Macaca mulatta: one gene and its partners. The protein of the gene in region 3 interacts with the protein of the main gene of each other region in a pairwise test. Links are inferred from orthologs where the notes say so. Each region holds a gene or a part of one and is shown on either strand. Other genes may lie near its edges.

Region 1 (4,854 bases), on a different chromosome or scaffold from region 3:
TCAGTTGTGTATCTGATACAACATTATTAAATGTATACAAAATTTGAACAGTTATATATTCCTGTGAATTACAATTTAATGTTTATGTATCATTCCTTTTTATCTCCAGCAAAGTGTTTATCCTTACCATAAACATTGTCTACAATCAAGACAGTCACAGCACCTGTTTGGTTTTTTTTCCCATCTTACTACTTTGAATGCTTCTGTATTTTTATGTTGTGTGTATTTTAAATAGGATGTTTCATTTTGATTGTAATGAAGTCTTATAGCCTTTGACTTTCAGTCTTTAAACTGCTTTCATTTAATCTAAGTTGTATGTAAATTTTCTATATTACTCTTACACTTAGTTTTTAGTGCTTTCTATATTTTATTATCTTTCCATTATTTTATTCTCACTGGTTTTAGTATTTTTGTTCTATTTTCCCTTTTATAATCTTGTTACTTTTATGTTGAAATCTTTTGTCTAAAGCCCCTTGTTGGGAAAGTCTAGAGACTTTGTATATCAAATACAAAGCACTGTGCCTCTGAGCCTAGGATTTGCTGTTACAAAGAATTATTGAGAAGGTGGCAAAACTGCGTAGGAACACAATTTCTGTTTTTATAGAGTGAGCTATTAATGCCATTGTAAGAATTACCAATATAGTGCTTTGTAAGTCCTCTTAAGATCTGCATCTGTTACATTTGGCCAGACCCACTTGAACAGTCCTTTTCATTAGATGCTAATTACTGGCTTCTGTGCAAGGGACAGAATGATTATTCACACAACTCACATCCACACAACAGCCAATCCTGTTAGGCTTTGACCTTCAGCTTTCGGCTCTGTATTTACTTTATTACATAAACATAAATATTGTGATGTATATTCTTTTATATATATTTTCAAATACATAGCTCTTATACATATATATTATATATATATCATTCTTAAATATATATTTCCAAATATAAATTATTTCATGTCAAGCTAAACAGGATAAAAACATGTAAACATATACACTTGGTTTTGGTCAAGTAAAACACAAAATCACAAGTTCATCACAGTTTAACAAGTGCACTTGAAGGGGAAGGAGGGAAAGAACAAACTGTAAACAGATGAGCAGCTGCAAGACCCTGCGAGGGTCCATTTGTTAAGGCTATTATAGCACAAAGCTACTAGTTCAATTAAAACTTCTCCTTTCACTCTGCCACATTTACTCTTGAGGGTCTTCAAAATAAGTGTGGAAATTCAGTAAACACTACACTAGAACTGAGTTAATCCTGTTGAAAACAGAGATGACAAAAAAAGCCATAAGCTGACATTAATATTAATTTCACCAAAACAGTAACTTTAAGGACTTATTTTTTTAAACACAGATAATCACCATAATCCTAGGAGGAAAGATATGCAGAATAGACAAGAAAACAGAAGCACTGCCTCAACAGCCCCTGAAAGCAATAAGAGTGTCAACACAGGGAAAACAGGCAATAGCAGACGACAGAACCTCAGCAGACTAGACCACATGCCACAGCACAATGCTACAGATTCAAATTGAAATATTCTTCCAGCTCATAATGAAGCAAGTCCCACTGGTCCTCAGAGAAGGGTAACTCATCTCTCAGTAAAAGAAACCGCTTAAACAACAGACTGGCCAGTCGAAGCACGACAAGCTCCTTCTTACGGCTTTTATAGAGCATGTCGCCCTCTCCCATTCGCACAGGCTCCACAAGTTGATGCCAGTATGCGCCGAATGACCCACCACCTGGCCCAGGAGGCTCATCTCCCCAGCCCTCAGGGTATTCATGCTTGTAAAAGCATGTGTCTCCAAATGGGCAGTTACCCCTGCCTTCCGCAAAATACCTGCAGGCCTTGTTGCTCATTGCCTCCTTGTATTGCTGAATAAGTTTCTGCTTCTCTTCCTCCTCCTCCACCCAGAACTCACTGGGAACGACCAAGTCGGAGGTGACCCTGCACTGCGGGCAAGACTTGATGATCCTGTTATCAAACTGTCTGGCACTTCTCCACCTGCGGATACACCTAATACAGAAGGTATGGTTGCAATTGGAAAGAATGCCAAAGCGGCGGTCATTGGGGTTGGCTTTCTCATAGACAACCTCCATGCAGATGCCACACACCTTGTCCATACCACGCTGCACAGCAAACGAGAGTTCCATATCTTTCTCGTGTGCTTCAATGCAGGCCCTTATATGGTCTTCCCTCTGGGCAGCATCCATGGGGTGCAAGGCCTGCAGCCCACACATGTCGCATATGTCTCCATGGAGGAACATACAGCTCTCCCCACGAAAGCAAACTCCCCTGGAAGCATAATAGCAAAACCGCAACCCCCTGCCCACAGCCATCTGCTTCCTCTCAGTCTCTGAGCTCTGTGGAGGAGCCTCGGGGGCAGATGCAACCCAGCGGCCCCGGTAGGGCTGCCCTGGAACAAACTCAATGGCATCCGCCCAGCTTTCTACACCTGCTCCTCCAGCAGCTCCACGGTCTGCATTGTCTCTCTCGGCTTCAAAGAAACCCCTTTCAGCAGCCGAGCCAATCACAGGCAAGGAAAGGGAGGATGCAGCCGGGGGGGCTTCCGCCACTTCCTGAGTCGGGGGCTCGATGTGCGCAGCCGTGCTAGGGCCTCCACCTGCAGAGGCCCCAGGCGGCGAAACGCTGCCCTCAGTGGCCATCTTCCGACCAGAAAGGTCGTGGGAATAGCGACAGTTCTCCCCCTCCTTGCACTGCCCATGTATATAATACCTGCAGATGATCTGCTTTGTCCAAATGCCGCTGCTTCGGCTTGGAAACGGATTGCGCCATGCTCCTCCTCCTGAGGCTGGTGCAGGCCTCAGGCCTCCTGTGCGGAGGTGGGCAGGGACTGGAGCTACAGGGAAGGGGGCCCAGCCCACAGGCGCATGTGGCAGGGCCGAATCTGGAGCAGCAGATTCCCTGGAGGGCTCACAGACGGGAAGGTCCGGCCCGGACACACCCTCCCCTGCTGCCTCAGCACCTGCCTGGGCCCCGGCTGCCTCCTGGGCTTCTGAGGGAGCTGCAGGCTCTTCCATGGCAGCTTCTTTACCCCGAAATGGTGCCAGAACGTCTCCGGTATTTTTTCTTTATGGGCTTGAGGCCCGGAGTCGCGGCCGCGCTCGGAGGCTTCTCTAGGGGAAGTGTGCATCTCTTTTTCTTCCCCCCCGGTTCTTGGCTGCCTGTGACTGTGTGTTCCTACCTACTTCCGGGCACAGGCAGCGCGGCGGACACTTCCTGTGGGGGCAACGTACGCGCCGCGCTTGGATTTTACCGCAATTTTCCAATCTGACATATTTTTTGTTCACACAGGCAGGGACCAACCCAGCCCCTTTTGTCTGCCTTCTGCCTCTGCTTCGCTGTGTTCCGGCAGCCCCTAATTCCCTCCTCACACCGTTTCCTCAGGAGAATGAGGTTTTACTTTAATCTCTTTTGGTTTCAGTCATGCACGTCTTCGTTGTATTTTCGTATCTGTCTGCTTTAAAAAAATTAGAATCCAATAGATTCTGAAACATTTCATACATGAATTAGATAAATCCTTTTTTGATTCACTCCATCTTATGTCTGCGTTTTTTTTTTTTTAATGCCCTGTCACTGCTGGAAGATTTTTTCGATTTGCTCTGTTGACAAAGCGTCGTTTCTTTTGGTCTTTGTTTTCTGGGATTTCTGAGGGCTTACGCAGGATACGCTTTTCACCAGCAAGGCATTAGCAGACAGCGCTTCTGATCCGAGGCTAAGTTAGCACCTTTCAGATGTCTTTCTTTATTGTGATTACTATGCTCGTTTTCCCACTGTGTAGAAGCCCCAGACTTCAATCATTCCTGATGCTGGCTGAATAAGGCACTGTCCCCTGCATGACCCAGGCTTTTATTTTCTCTACTGGTTTAATTCATGGCAGCCCTTTGTTTCTCTTGCTTTCTTTCAACCCCATCTGTGCTGTGTTGTGGCATACTATCCACAAAGGAATGGTCTTTAATTTCCATATATAAGCGTTTTGTCATTTTTGCAGATACGTGTAGTGGATTAATCATTTTTTTGTATTCCTACTTTGCTGAGAGTACGTATCATGACTGCATACTGAATTCTGTCATGTAGTTTTATATATTTTTTGAGATAATCTTGTTTTTCCCTTTATTCTCTTAATGTGATTATTTGCAGCTATGAGTTTCAAATATTTAACTGACCAATTTGTTTCTAATAAGAAGCCCTTCTGTGTCATGATATATCGTTTTATATATTATTGGATTTTTTTTTTTTCTGTAAGTTTCTTTGAGGAAATTTTGTTGCCTAAATCTGTAAAGTGGAAACATATCTGAATATTTATAATCACCCAAGTCAACAAATTAAATTATAATTAGGTAGGTAAAAGCAAAGAAAGCAGAATGAAGCAAATAATAAGGCCAAGAAAAGCAATGAAGAAAAACAAATATTAAATAAGGGAAATAAATTAAGTAAAATCCTTTAAACAGCTTATTGAAGCCAGATAATTTCTGGTGAAACTTATCAAGGAAAAATGAAGAAGGCTGTAATAACCAACATCAGTAATTTCAAATATGTTATCACTACATTAATAACAGGCATTAAAAATCATTAGAGAATATCAGGAACAAAATTAGGACATTAAACTTGAAAATTTACATGAAATAGTCATATTGCTGGAAACATCTATTAGTAAAAATGACAGGAGCAGAAATAAATGTGAATATGGATCTGTTACATCTGTAATTTAGATAATTATCTAAAAGGTTTCTAAAACTTTCCCTCTGAAATAAATCTAAAGGCAAAAAAATCTGTATTTATTATTGCAAGTCCTAGCTAGTGTAATAGCAAAGAAATAAAAGATGTTATAACTG
Region 2 (4,695 bases), on a different chromosome or scaffold from region 3:
TGAGACAAGGAATTACCTGCCTCACTGGAGCTCAGGCAGAGGCAGGCCGTCTCTGGGCTCCTCACCTCAACGGAGGCACTGCAGAGCAAGGCCAGTGGCCAGCACCAAGGGACACCCCACAGCACCCCGAGGAGGCCCCGTCTTGGTGCTCCCTCATCCCTCCAGGCCTTGGTGTTGGATCAGGCTCTCAGGCCAAGGCCACACCCACTGTGGGCAGACCTTGTGCCAGTGACCGTGGGGAGGTAGGTGAGAGTCGGGTATACTGGCCCCACCTGCAGGCATGGTGGGAGCCTGGAGAGGGCCAGAGCTCTGGGTTCTGGTTTCAGCTCTGCAGCTTAAAGCAGAGTGACTTTGAGTGAATCTCCGCCTGTCTCTGGTTTCCCCTCTGTTCCCTCTGATCAAGAAAATGATGCAAATTTGAGATGCACAGAGAGAGGGCTCAGGGTGATGGAACTGGCTTAGGCAAGGAGAACAGGCAGGCAGGTTCACATCTCAGCTTCCAGTGACTGGTGTCTTGGAAAGCCCACTTACCCTCCCCGAATCCCAGCTCCTTCACCTGAGAACTGGTGTCAGGAATAACGCCCCCCTCATCCTCACTCACAGAACCGTACAGCACACACCAGGCTCTCCGTGCATGCCTGAGTGTGCCCATGACGAGTGCTCTCCCCCAGCTCAGCTGGATGAATGGAGCTGCCAGGTCCAGTCTGGGATCTGTGGACATGGGAAAGAGAACTGCTGGGAATGGATCCCCAGCCAGTCCTGTTTCTACAGGGTCGGGGACTCTGAGGCCCTTGGCGGAGTCAGGGGTCACACCTGGCTACAGTGGCAGGACGGGCTCCCTCCCATCAGCCTGCAGGTGGGGTGCCTGTGATTAGGAGAGGGCGGTAGAGGAGTGGAGGAGCTAGGTGTGGGGCTGTGGTGTTCTTCAGCTGGGAGTGTGGGGGGTGCAGGGTCCCGCGTAGGGGTGTGGGAGGGTGCCAGTGTGTAGAGGTGAGTGTGAGGAGCAGGTGGCTGAAGGGGCAGGATGGGGAGGCTGAGGGGCAGGGCTGGCCCTCAGGGAAGGGCCGGTGGGGTCCTGCGCGCATGTTTCTTTGTGGCTAGTGGTGTGTCATCCCCTTTTACACATGAGAAAACTGAGGACCAAGGGGTTATAGGACCGGCCTGTGCTATGCAGCTGGTAAGGGCAGAGCAGGGACTTGGTGCCGCCTGTCTGGCTCCATGGCCGGTGCTGTTTGTATGGTGCACACACTTCTGGAGATCCCAGGGGCTCCAGGCAGCCTCCAGAACTGGAATTACATCCAACAAGGGAAAGAGAGTCGTAGGATTTTTAGAACCAGAAGGGACTCTGCAGTCACCCAGTCTAGCCTTGTCACCACCGAGGGGAAACAGGCCCAGAGATGGGAGGTGGGGAGCCTCAGGCCACACAGCAAGCAGAGTGAAGGCACGAACTCTGCCCCTGCCCAGAGTGGGACATGTAGGATCCCCACAACTGCTCCCCAAGACAGCCCGGGATGGCGTCGCTGAGGTATCTTTCAGCCAAGGCTGTCACTGTGGGGCAGGGAGTTCTTCTGAAGGGCTGACTCACTGCCTGGGGACGCAGTTGCCACAAAGCCACCTGTGCCAAGGCCCCACTGGCCCTGAGGGCTCCAGGAACGGGAGCCTGATTCCCGGCTGCCTAGCCTGAGTCACCACCTACTTGCATTTGTGTGTTTTTCTCTCAGCCCCACACCCCCAAAGCTGGGTGGGAACTCCGAGCCGGCACACAGTGGAGTTGATCCTGGGCTGAATAATCCAGAGTGAGGAGTAGGACGGGACCGGGAGTGATGAAATCCGGAGGGGAACCCGGAGTCAGCAGTTAGGAGAGCCCCGCCTTCCCCAGGTGCATATAAAGGTCTCTGGGATTGGAGGCAGCCACAGCACGCTCTCAGCCTTCCTGAGCACCTTCCTTTCTTTCAGCCAACTGCTCGCTCGCTCACCTCCCTCCTCGGCACCATGACCACCTGCAGTCGCCAGTTCACCTCCTCCAGCTCCATGAAGGGCTCCTGCGGCATCGGGGGCGGCATCGGGGGCGGCTCCAGCCGCATCTCCTCCGTCCTGGCCGGAGGGTCCTGCCGCGCCCCCAGCACCTACGGCGGGGGCCTGTCTGTCTCCTCCTCCCGCTTCTCCTCTGGGGGAGCCTGCGGGCTGGGGGGCGGCTATGGCGGTGGCTTCAGCAGCAGCAGCAGCTTTGGTAGTGGCTTCGGGGGAGGATATGGTGGTGGCTTCGGTGGTGGCTTGGGTGGTGGCTTGGGTGGTGGCTTTGGTGGTGGCTTTGCTGGTGGTGATGGGCTTCTGGTGGGCAGTGAGAAGGTGACCATGCAGAACCTCAACGACCGCCTGGCCTCCTACCTGGACAAGGTGCGTGCTCTGGAGGAGGCCAACGCCGACCTGGAGGTGAAGATCCGCGACTGGTACCAGAGGCAGCGGCCCAGTGAGATCAAAGACTACAGTCCCTACTTCAAGACCATCGAGGACCTGAGGAACAAGGTGGGTGACTGGTGTATGGAGCAGAGAGAGAGGCTGGCACTATAGTGGCCCTTGGGATACCTCTTTTTAGCAATTACACTTTACAAACAGGGAGACTGGGCACCTTTGGAGAGTGGCCAGGATCACCCAGGGAAGTGGTGGCAGAGGGTCCTTTTCAGCATCTCTGTGCCCGGGCTGGGGCTGGAACCCTGAATCTCTTATTTCCTGCAAGGGTTCAGCTGCAAGTTCAGCTTCCCTGCCTTGGAACCAGGAAGGGGGTGATTGGGATGGAGTGTGTCCCTACATACCCTGAGCTGGTGGAGAAGGCAGCCCTGCCAGCCAGGAGACTTACAGATTTGGGGAGGTTCCTTTTGCCCCTTTCTGCCTTTCATGCTCAAGTAGTAAGGTCCTTGGCTGACCAGGGCTCCTGTCCTCCATCCCCACTCCAGATCATTGCAGCCACCATTGAGAATGCGCAGCCCATTTTGCAGATTGACAATGCCAGGCTGGCAGCCGATGACTTCAGGACAAAGTGAGCAGCCAACATGGTGGGCTGGGGGCAGAGGGCAAGGGACAAAGAGTGGGGCTCTGTCACTGTGGGGCAGGGAGTTCTGTCCACCCAGCAGGGCCAGCAGACCCCGAGCCTCAGAATCCTCAGGGCTGCAGCTGAGGACCTGACCTCTGTCCTGCCAGGTACGAGCATGAACTGGCCCTGCGGCAGACCGTGGAGGCCGATGTCAATGGCCTGCGCCGGGTGTTGGATGAGCTGACCCTGGCCAGGACCGACCTGGAGATGCAGATCGAAGGCCTGAAGGAGGAGCTGGCCTACCTGAGGAAGAACCATGAGGAGGTGCGGTTGCTGCTGGCTTCCGGGGTGGGAGGCTGGTTTGGTGGGGTTGCCAGATGCACCCAGGGCCAGGAGAGGAGTCTGCTGAGCTGACTGCCTCCTGCCATCCCTTCCCAGGAGATGCTTGCTCTTCGAGGTCAGAGCGGTGGAGATGTGAACGTGGAGATGGATGCCGCACCTGGCGTGGACCTGAGCCGCATCCTGAATGAGATGCGCGACCAGTACGAGCAGATGGCAGAGAAAAACCGCAGAGATGCTGAGGCCTGGTTCCTGAGCAAGGTGGGGCTCGGGCCCTCAGTGAGCCTGCAGCACTTCCCAGCCGGGGGCTTTGGGAGAGCCTCACCTTTCGTTCTGCTTTCCTGTCTCAGACCGAGGAGCTAAACAAAGAAGTGGCCTCCAACAGCGAACTGGTACAGAGCAGCCGCACTGAGGTGACGGAGCTCCGGAGGGTGTTCCAGGGCCTGGAGATTGAGCTGCAGTCCCAGCTCAGCATGGTATGAAGGACCCGGTACAGCAGCAGCCCCCAAGCCACCAGTAATGGCCACCACCCCCTCAACAAGCCACAATCTAGTTCCACCTTTCTTTTCTCAGGATGGGACCAGAGGACTCATGGGACCCATTATATAGACAGAGAAATTAAGCCCTAGAATAGTGGGCTAGCTTTTCTCCATATTGTCTGGCCCGTCAGTACCCCAACTGGGATCAAAATCCAGGCACCTCTCAAAAAGCATGCCCAGAGACCTGGAGGGACAGGAGTGACCACCTCCATTGACTCTTTCTCTCTTTCGCTTGCAGAAAGCATCCCTGGAGAACAGCCTGGAGGAGACCAAAGGCCGCTACTGCATGCAGCTGTCCCAGATCCAGGGACTGATCGGCAGCGTGGAGGAGCAGCTGGCCCAGCTACGTTGTGAGATGGAGCAGCAGAGCCAGGAGTACCAGATCCTGCTGGACGTGAAGACGCGGCTGGAGCAGGAGATCGCCACCTACCGCCGCCTGCTGGAGGGCGAGGACGCCCAGTGAGTCCCAGGCCCCCCAGTTCTGCCTCCCAGACCCTTTAGACCCCCTGTTGCTCTCAGCACAACTGACTGCCCTGCCTTTTCTCTCCCACAGCCTTTCCTCCCAGCACGCATCTGGCCAATCCTATTCTTCCCGCGAGGGTAAGTCTTCTGAGGCTCCCCCGCACTGCAGCCCCTCTGCCTGTTTCCACGGAGTGGGGGCAGAGCCCTTCTCCTCAGAGCTCCCAGCCCTCCCTTCTCCCTGCCCTGGAGTCCGCTCAGCTCTCAGACTCCTTCTCACCTCTTCTTCTCTCTCCCACAGTCTTCACCTCCTCCTCCTCTTCTTCG
Region 3 (4,253 bases):
AGCCCTGCTATGGCTCTTCTCAGGGCAGCCCCTCAAGTGCCCATCTCACACTAACGAGCAGCTGTGGAGGAGGTCATGGCTGAGAGGGGCTTGTGCCCACCTCCACCTCCTTCAGTTTCAGCTCCTCCATCTGCTGCAGCAGTGCCTCGGCCTGGAGCTTGTCCTCCAGCTGCCTCCTCTCCTCTTCGGCTTTCATCCGTTCTAGCGCCTCCCTTCGGGCCCTTTCATACTCATTTTCGTACCGTTTGTTCTCTTGCTCTGCGGTGGCTTCTTGCTACAAGGGACCGAATGAACACAGGAGGTCAGTATCTGTACTGTAAGCCAACAAAAACCCAGCTTCCTGCCGCCGTTCTGCAGGCCACAGGGCCCAGGCAGATCCTGCCTGAATCCCAAATGACAATGCCCTCAGAGACCAAGTTAGGGAGGGGCTTGATAATGTTGGGTTTCCTCCCCACTCAACAAAACACTTTCTAAAATGAACCAGGCAGCAAAGCGACCAGTGCACGGAGGTGTGGAAGCTCAACCCCAAAGGGGCTACTGGAAGCCAGGGCTGCGAGTTTATGATGCAAATTTCATCAAAAGAGCGACAAAAAAGCCCTTAAAAACACATGTTCTAGGCCGGGCGCGGTGGCTCAAGCCTGTAATCCCAGCACTTTGGGAGGCCGAGATGGGCGGATCACGAGGTCAGGAGATCGAGACCATCCTGGCTAACACGGTGAAACCCCGTCTCTACTAAAAAATACAAAAAAAAACTAGCCGGGCGAGGTGGCGGGCGCCTGTAGTCCCAGCTACTCGGGAGGCTGAGGCAGGAGAATGGTCTAAACCCGGGAGGCGGAGCTTGCAGTGAGCTGAGATCTGGCCACTGCACCCCAGCCTGGGCGACAGAGCAAGACTCTGTCTCAAAAAAAAAAAAAAAAACAAAAAACAAAACACATGTTCTAGCTGGACCCTGTGGCCCACGCCTTTAATCCCAGCACTTTGAGAGGCCCAGGTGGGAGAATCTTTTAAGGCCAGGAGGCCATGGCCGGGCGTGGTGGCTCACGCCTGTAATCCCAGCACTTTGGGAGGCCGAGGTGGGCGGATCACAAGGTCAGGAGATCGAGACCATGGTGAAACCCCGTCTCTACTAAAAATAGAAAAAATTAGCCGGGCGCAGGGGCGGGCGCCTGTAGTCCCAGCTACTCGGGAGGCTGAGGCAGGAGAATGGCGTGAACCCGGGAGGCGGAGCTTGCAGTGAGCCAAGATTGCGCCACTGCACTCCAGCCTGGGCGAGAGAGCAAGACTCCGTCTCAAAAAAAAAAAAAAGGCCAGGAGGCCAGACCAGCCTGGGCAACAGAACAAGACCCCATCTCTACAAAAACTAAAAAATTAGCTGGGCACAGTGGTGCACACATGTGGTCCTAGCTACTCAGGAAGCCGAGTTAGGAGGACTGCTTGAGCCCAGCTGGTCGAGGCTGCACTGAGCTGTGAATTGCGCCACTGCACACCAGCCTGGGTGACAGAGCAAGACCCTGCCTCCAAAAGAAAAAAAGAAGACGCATACTCTACTTGCCACCTCCCAGTCCTGGTCACCTGGCCTTATTCTGCCCTGGGATTATCACATAGGATTCTGGTATGTGTAAGAGCAAACGTTCAGTTTTCACATGTGTCAAGTAAACTGAGAAAGAGTATACTATACTCCTTAACTGGAGTCACTGACGCTGAAAACGGTAAAGGAATTCAAAGGTGTCAACAGTCCTGCACAGCAGAATGCGGGGCTATTCCCTGAGCCGCATACCACACCTGTTTTTTTTCTTCTTTCTGCGTTTCCCAAGAGTTTACCACATGCTTCTGGTGAAGGTCCAGCTCCACCTGAGGATGGAAGGGGGCGGGTGTGAGTCTCCTCACAGGCATGCAGTAGAGAGCGTGGGGCGACTTCAACACGTACAGTGTAAATGCAAGTCAATCAGAAGACCAAAGGACCAGGCGCTCCTACATCAGTCTCCTGAGCTGGTACAAAGTAACAGAGACTTCCTTCCCACCAGCCCTGGGGTTAAGCTGGACGCTGAGATGGAAATACAATTTCGCAGGCCAGCGTGGGTTGGTCTCCTGCATGCCAGGCCCCGGGAGACAGCTGGGTGAGGAGAAGACTCAACTCTGTGTCTGGCTCCCCAAAGCTTGCTCTGCAGAGCAGATGGAAAATGTGCTCCCTGTAGCAAGTGATGCGCCAGTAGGTGCAACAAGTTTAGGATTGTTAGTAAGAGATTTGAGCGCAGAGAATCTCCTGGATTAGAAAATGGATCACAACATTCAATCCAAATCTTTTGTCTGGGAAACTGTTTATAAAATTAGCCGGATATGGAGGCGCCCACCTGTAGCCTCAGCTACTCGGGAGGCTGAGGTGGGAGGATCACTTGAGCCCAGGTTCAAGACCAGCCTGAGCAACATAGGGAGACCCTGTCTCTACAAAAAAGTTTTACAATAATCTTTCCCAACTTAGAGCTGTGAACACAGGCAACTAACTTGAATGTTCTGAATAAACTTCTCTGATTTAACGGCTCTAGATGATTCCACCAAAGCCAACAGGGCTAAGGAGTCCCCCCACAGATTAGTGCAAACTACACAAAAGCACTAGATGTTCCATTATTTAGTGACTGGCAATTTCTAAATGTAACTACGAATAACGTGAAGGCACCAAATGTATACAAAAACTGTAAGTTGAAAATAAATTAGTAACAGTGAGGGATGATCTCCCTGCAGCCAAATCTCCACTGAACAAGGCCACCAAGCCAAGAGGCCACCCCCTCTCCTGCAGTTTGTCCTCCTCTCCCCTGCCAGCCCAGTTCAGGCCTTCACCATCCCCCAGCTGGGCTGTCGCAGCACCCCTCCCTGCCAGCTGGCACACTGCTGCCAGAGGGATCTCTCTGAAATGCAGCCGGGATCCTGTGTGCCGCCCCCAGCACCTTCAGAGGAAGGTCACACAAGCTCTTATGGCGTCTGGCACCGTCTGCCTCGCCGGCGTCGTTTCTTGGGGTTCTCCCTATCTGACATCCTAGCCTCACCCAGACACTTTCAGCTCCCGGGGCTCACTCTGCTCTCAAGTCTCAGGCCTGGTTCTCATAGTCACATCAACCTAGAACATCTTTTCCTCACCTCTACACACATACATCCCTTCAAACTCTTCCACCCCAGGAACCCCTCTGGGAAGCCTCCCCGACCCCTCCAGAGTTGAGTGCGCTGGCCCATGATCATCCTCTCAGGCTGGCCCAGCACCCTGCATCCTGCCTGGTAATGAGCTATCCACTGTTTCCCGTGCTGGAGACAGCAGAAACCACGTCTAATCCCCATGCCCCCACCTGGTAGAAAGGCAGCAGAGGTTCAATCAACATTTGTTCAACAACTGAATGAACCGCTCAGTGCAGCCTGTGCCAGATCTTCTGCCTGGCGCTCTTTTCAGGTGGCTCAAGGTTCCCTCCTCTGTTTCAACCCAGTACAAGATATGTGTTAAAAAAAAAAAAAATGTCTGGAAACATGATTTCATCTACTTAGGCAAATCAATGGAGGTCTCTGATTTTCACCTCTCGAAGTTTCGGGTTGTTCTTTTTCCAGTGTTCATACAAAAGTTGTTCAGCAATCTATCGAGAAAACACAAAATGGAAAGCCTGATGTCAGTTTTCAAATCCATTCACGTTTTGGATGACACACAGTGGAAGTCAGCTCAGGCTATGAGTGCCTCCATTCATACTGTCACTGCACCCACTGTTCAAACCCTTGTGCTTCACATGCACAGCTCTAAGAACCACAGGGCACTACCAAGTGACTCTTGCAATGGTGACAAAAGGGGACCAAAATCTGATGCTACACAGAGGTCTTATCTAGGGGGTCTCAAAATAATACAGCAGGCTGAAAAGCACAGATCAGGGCTCACTGTTTCACATAACTACTTTGGAAGGTAAAACAGATTATTCCCAGATCTCTATGGGCCCACAGAACTGAAAGAAAGGAAAAGCACTCAGATGTAATGACTGAAGGGGCTAAAGAGAATACAGCTAACTGATCCAAAACCCAGTCCCTGCACAAGGACTTAAGCTCCTTTCCTGCTGGCTCTGGAGTTAACTGGCCTCTCATCAGACCTGAGCAGCCAGGAATGGCCCTATATGTGCGACACACTCAGGCTGGGGGCACTCCTGCTCCACAGCCTCCTGAAGGCCTCTGGGAAGTTACCAGTTTCCTCTGCTCTTCTCTGGCTGATTTTAGCTTCCCATGCTGCTCCC

Evidence for each region.
Region 1: the proteins of TCHP (region 3) and MKRN3 interact in binary tests that used the Homo sapiens proteins (3 or more experiments, as listed by UniProt). The two-hybrid records come from large-scale screens. The link is inferred for Macaca mulatta from reciprocal best matches to the Homo sapiens genes TCHP and MKRN3.
Region 2: the proteins of TCHP (region 3) and KRT16 interact in binary tests that used the Homo sapiens proteins (3 or more experiments, as listed by UniProt). The link is inferred for Macaca mulatta from reciprocal best matches to the Homo sapiens genes TCHP and KRT16.

The regions. Positions count from the first base shown.
Region 1 is NC_133412.1:6,385,591-6,390,444, forward strand, and holds the start of MKRN3 (E3 ubiquitin-protein ligase makorin-3), read right to left. Parts: upstream 3,149-4,854; 5' UTR 3,040-3,148; coding exon 1,516-3,039; 3' UTR 1-1,515. UniProt on the Homo sapiens protein: E3 ubiquitin ligase catalyzing the covalent attachment of ubiquitin moieties onto substrate proteins.
Region 2 is NC_133421.1:65,946,608-65,951,302, reverse strand, and holds the start of KRT16 (keratin, type I cytoskeletal 16), read left to right. Parts: upstream 1-1,547; 5' UTR 1,548-1,879; intron 1,880-1,912; exon of another isoform or gene 1,913-1,956; 5' UTR 1,957-1,992; coding exon 1,993-2,526; intron 2,527-2,954; coding exon 2,955-3,037; intron 3,038-3,198; coding exon 3,199-3,355; intron 3,356-3,469; coding exon 3,470-3,631; intron 3,632-3,720; coding exon 3,721-3,846; intron 3,847-4,147; coding exon 4,148-4,368; intron 4,369-4,462; coding exon 4,463-4,509; intron 4,510-4,669; coding exon 4,670-4,695. UniProt on the Homo sapiens protein: Epidermis-specific type I keratin that plays a key role in skin. Acts as a regulator of innate immunity in response to skin barrier breach: required for some inflammatory checkpoint for the skin barrier maintenance.
Region 3 is NC_133416.1:117,069,766-117,074,018, reverse strand, and holds part of TCHP (trichoplein keratin filament-binding protein), read right to left. Parts: coding exon 4,204-4,253; intron 3,615-4,203; coding exon 3,558-3,614; intron 1,852-3,557; coding exon 1,783-1,851; intron 275-1,782; coding exon 101-274; intron 1-100. UniProt on the Homo sapiens protein: Tumor suppressor which has the ability to inhibit cell growth and be pro-apoptotic during cell stress. Inhibits cell growth in bladder and prostate cancer cells by a down-regulation of HSPB1 by inhibiting its phosphorylation.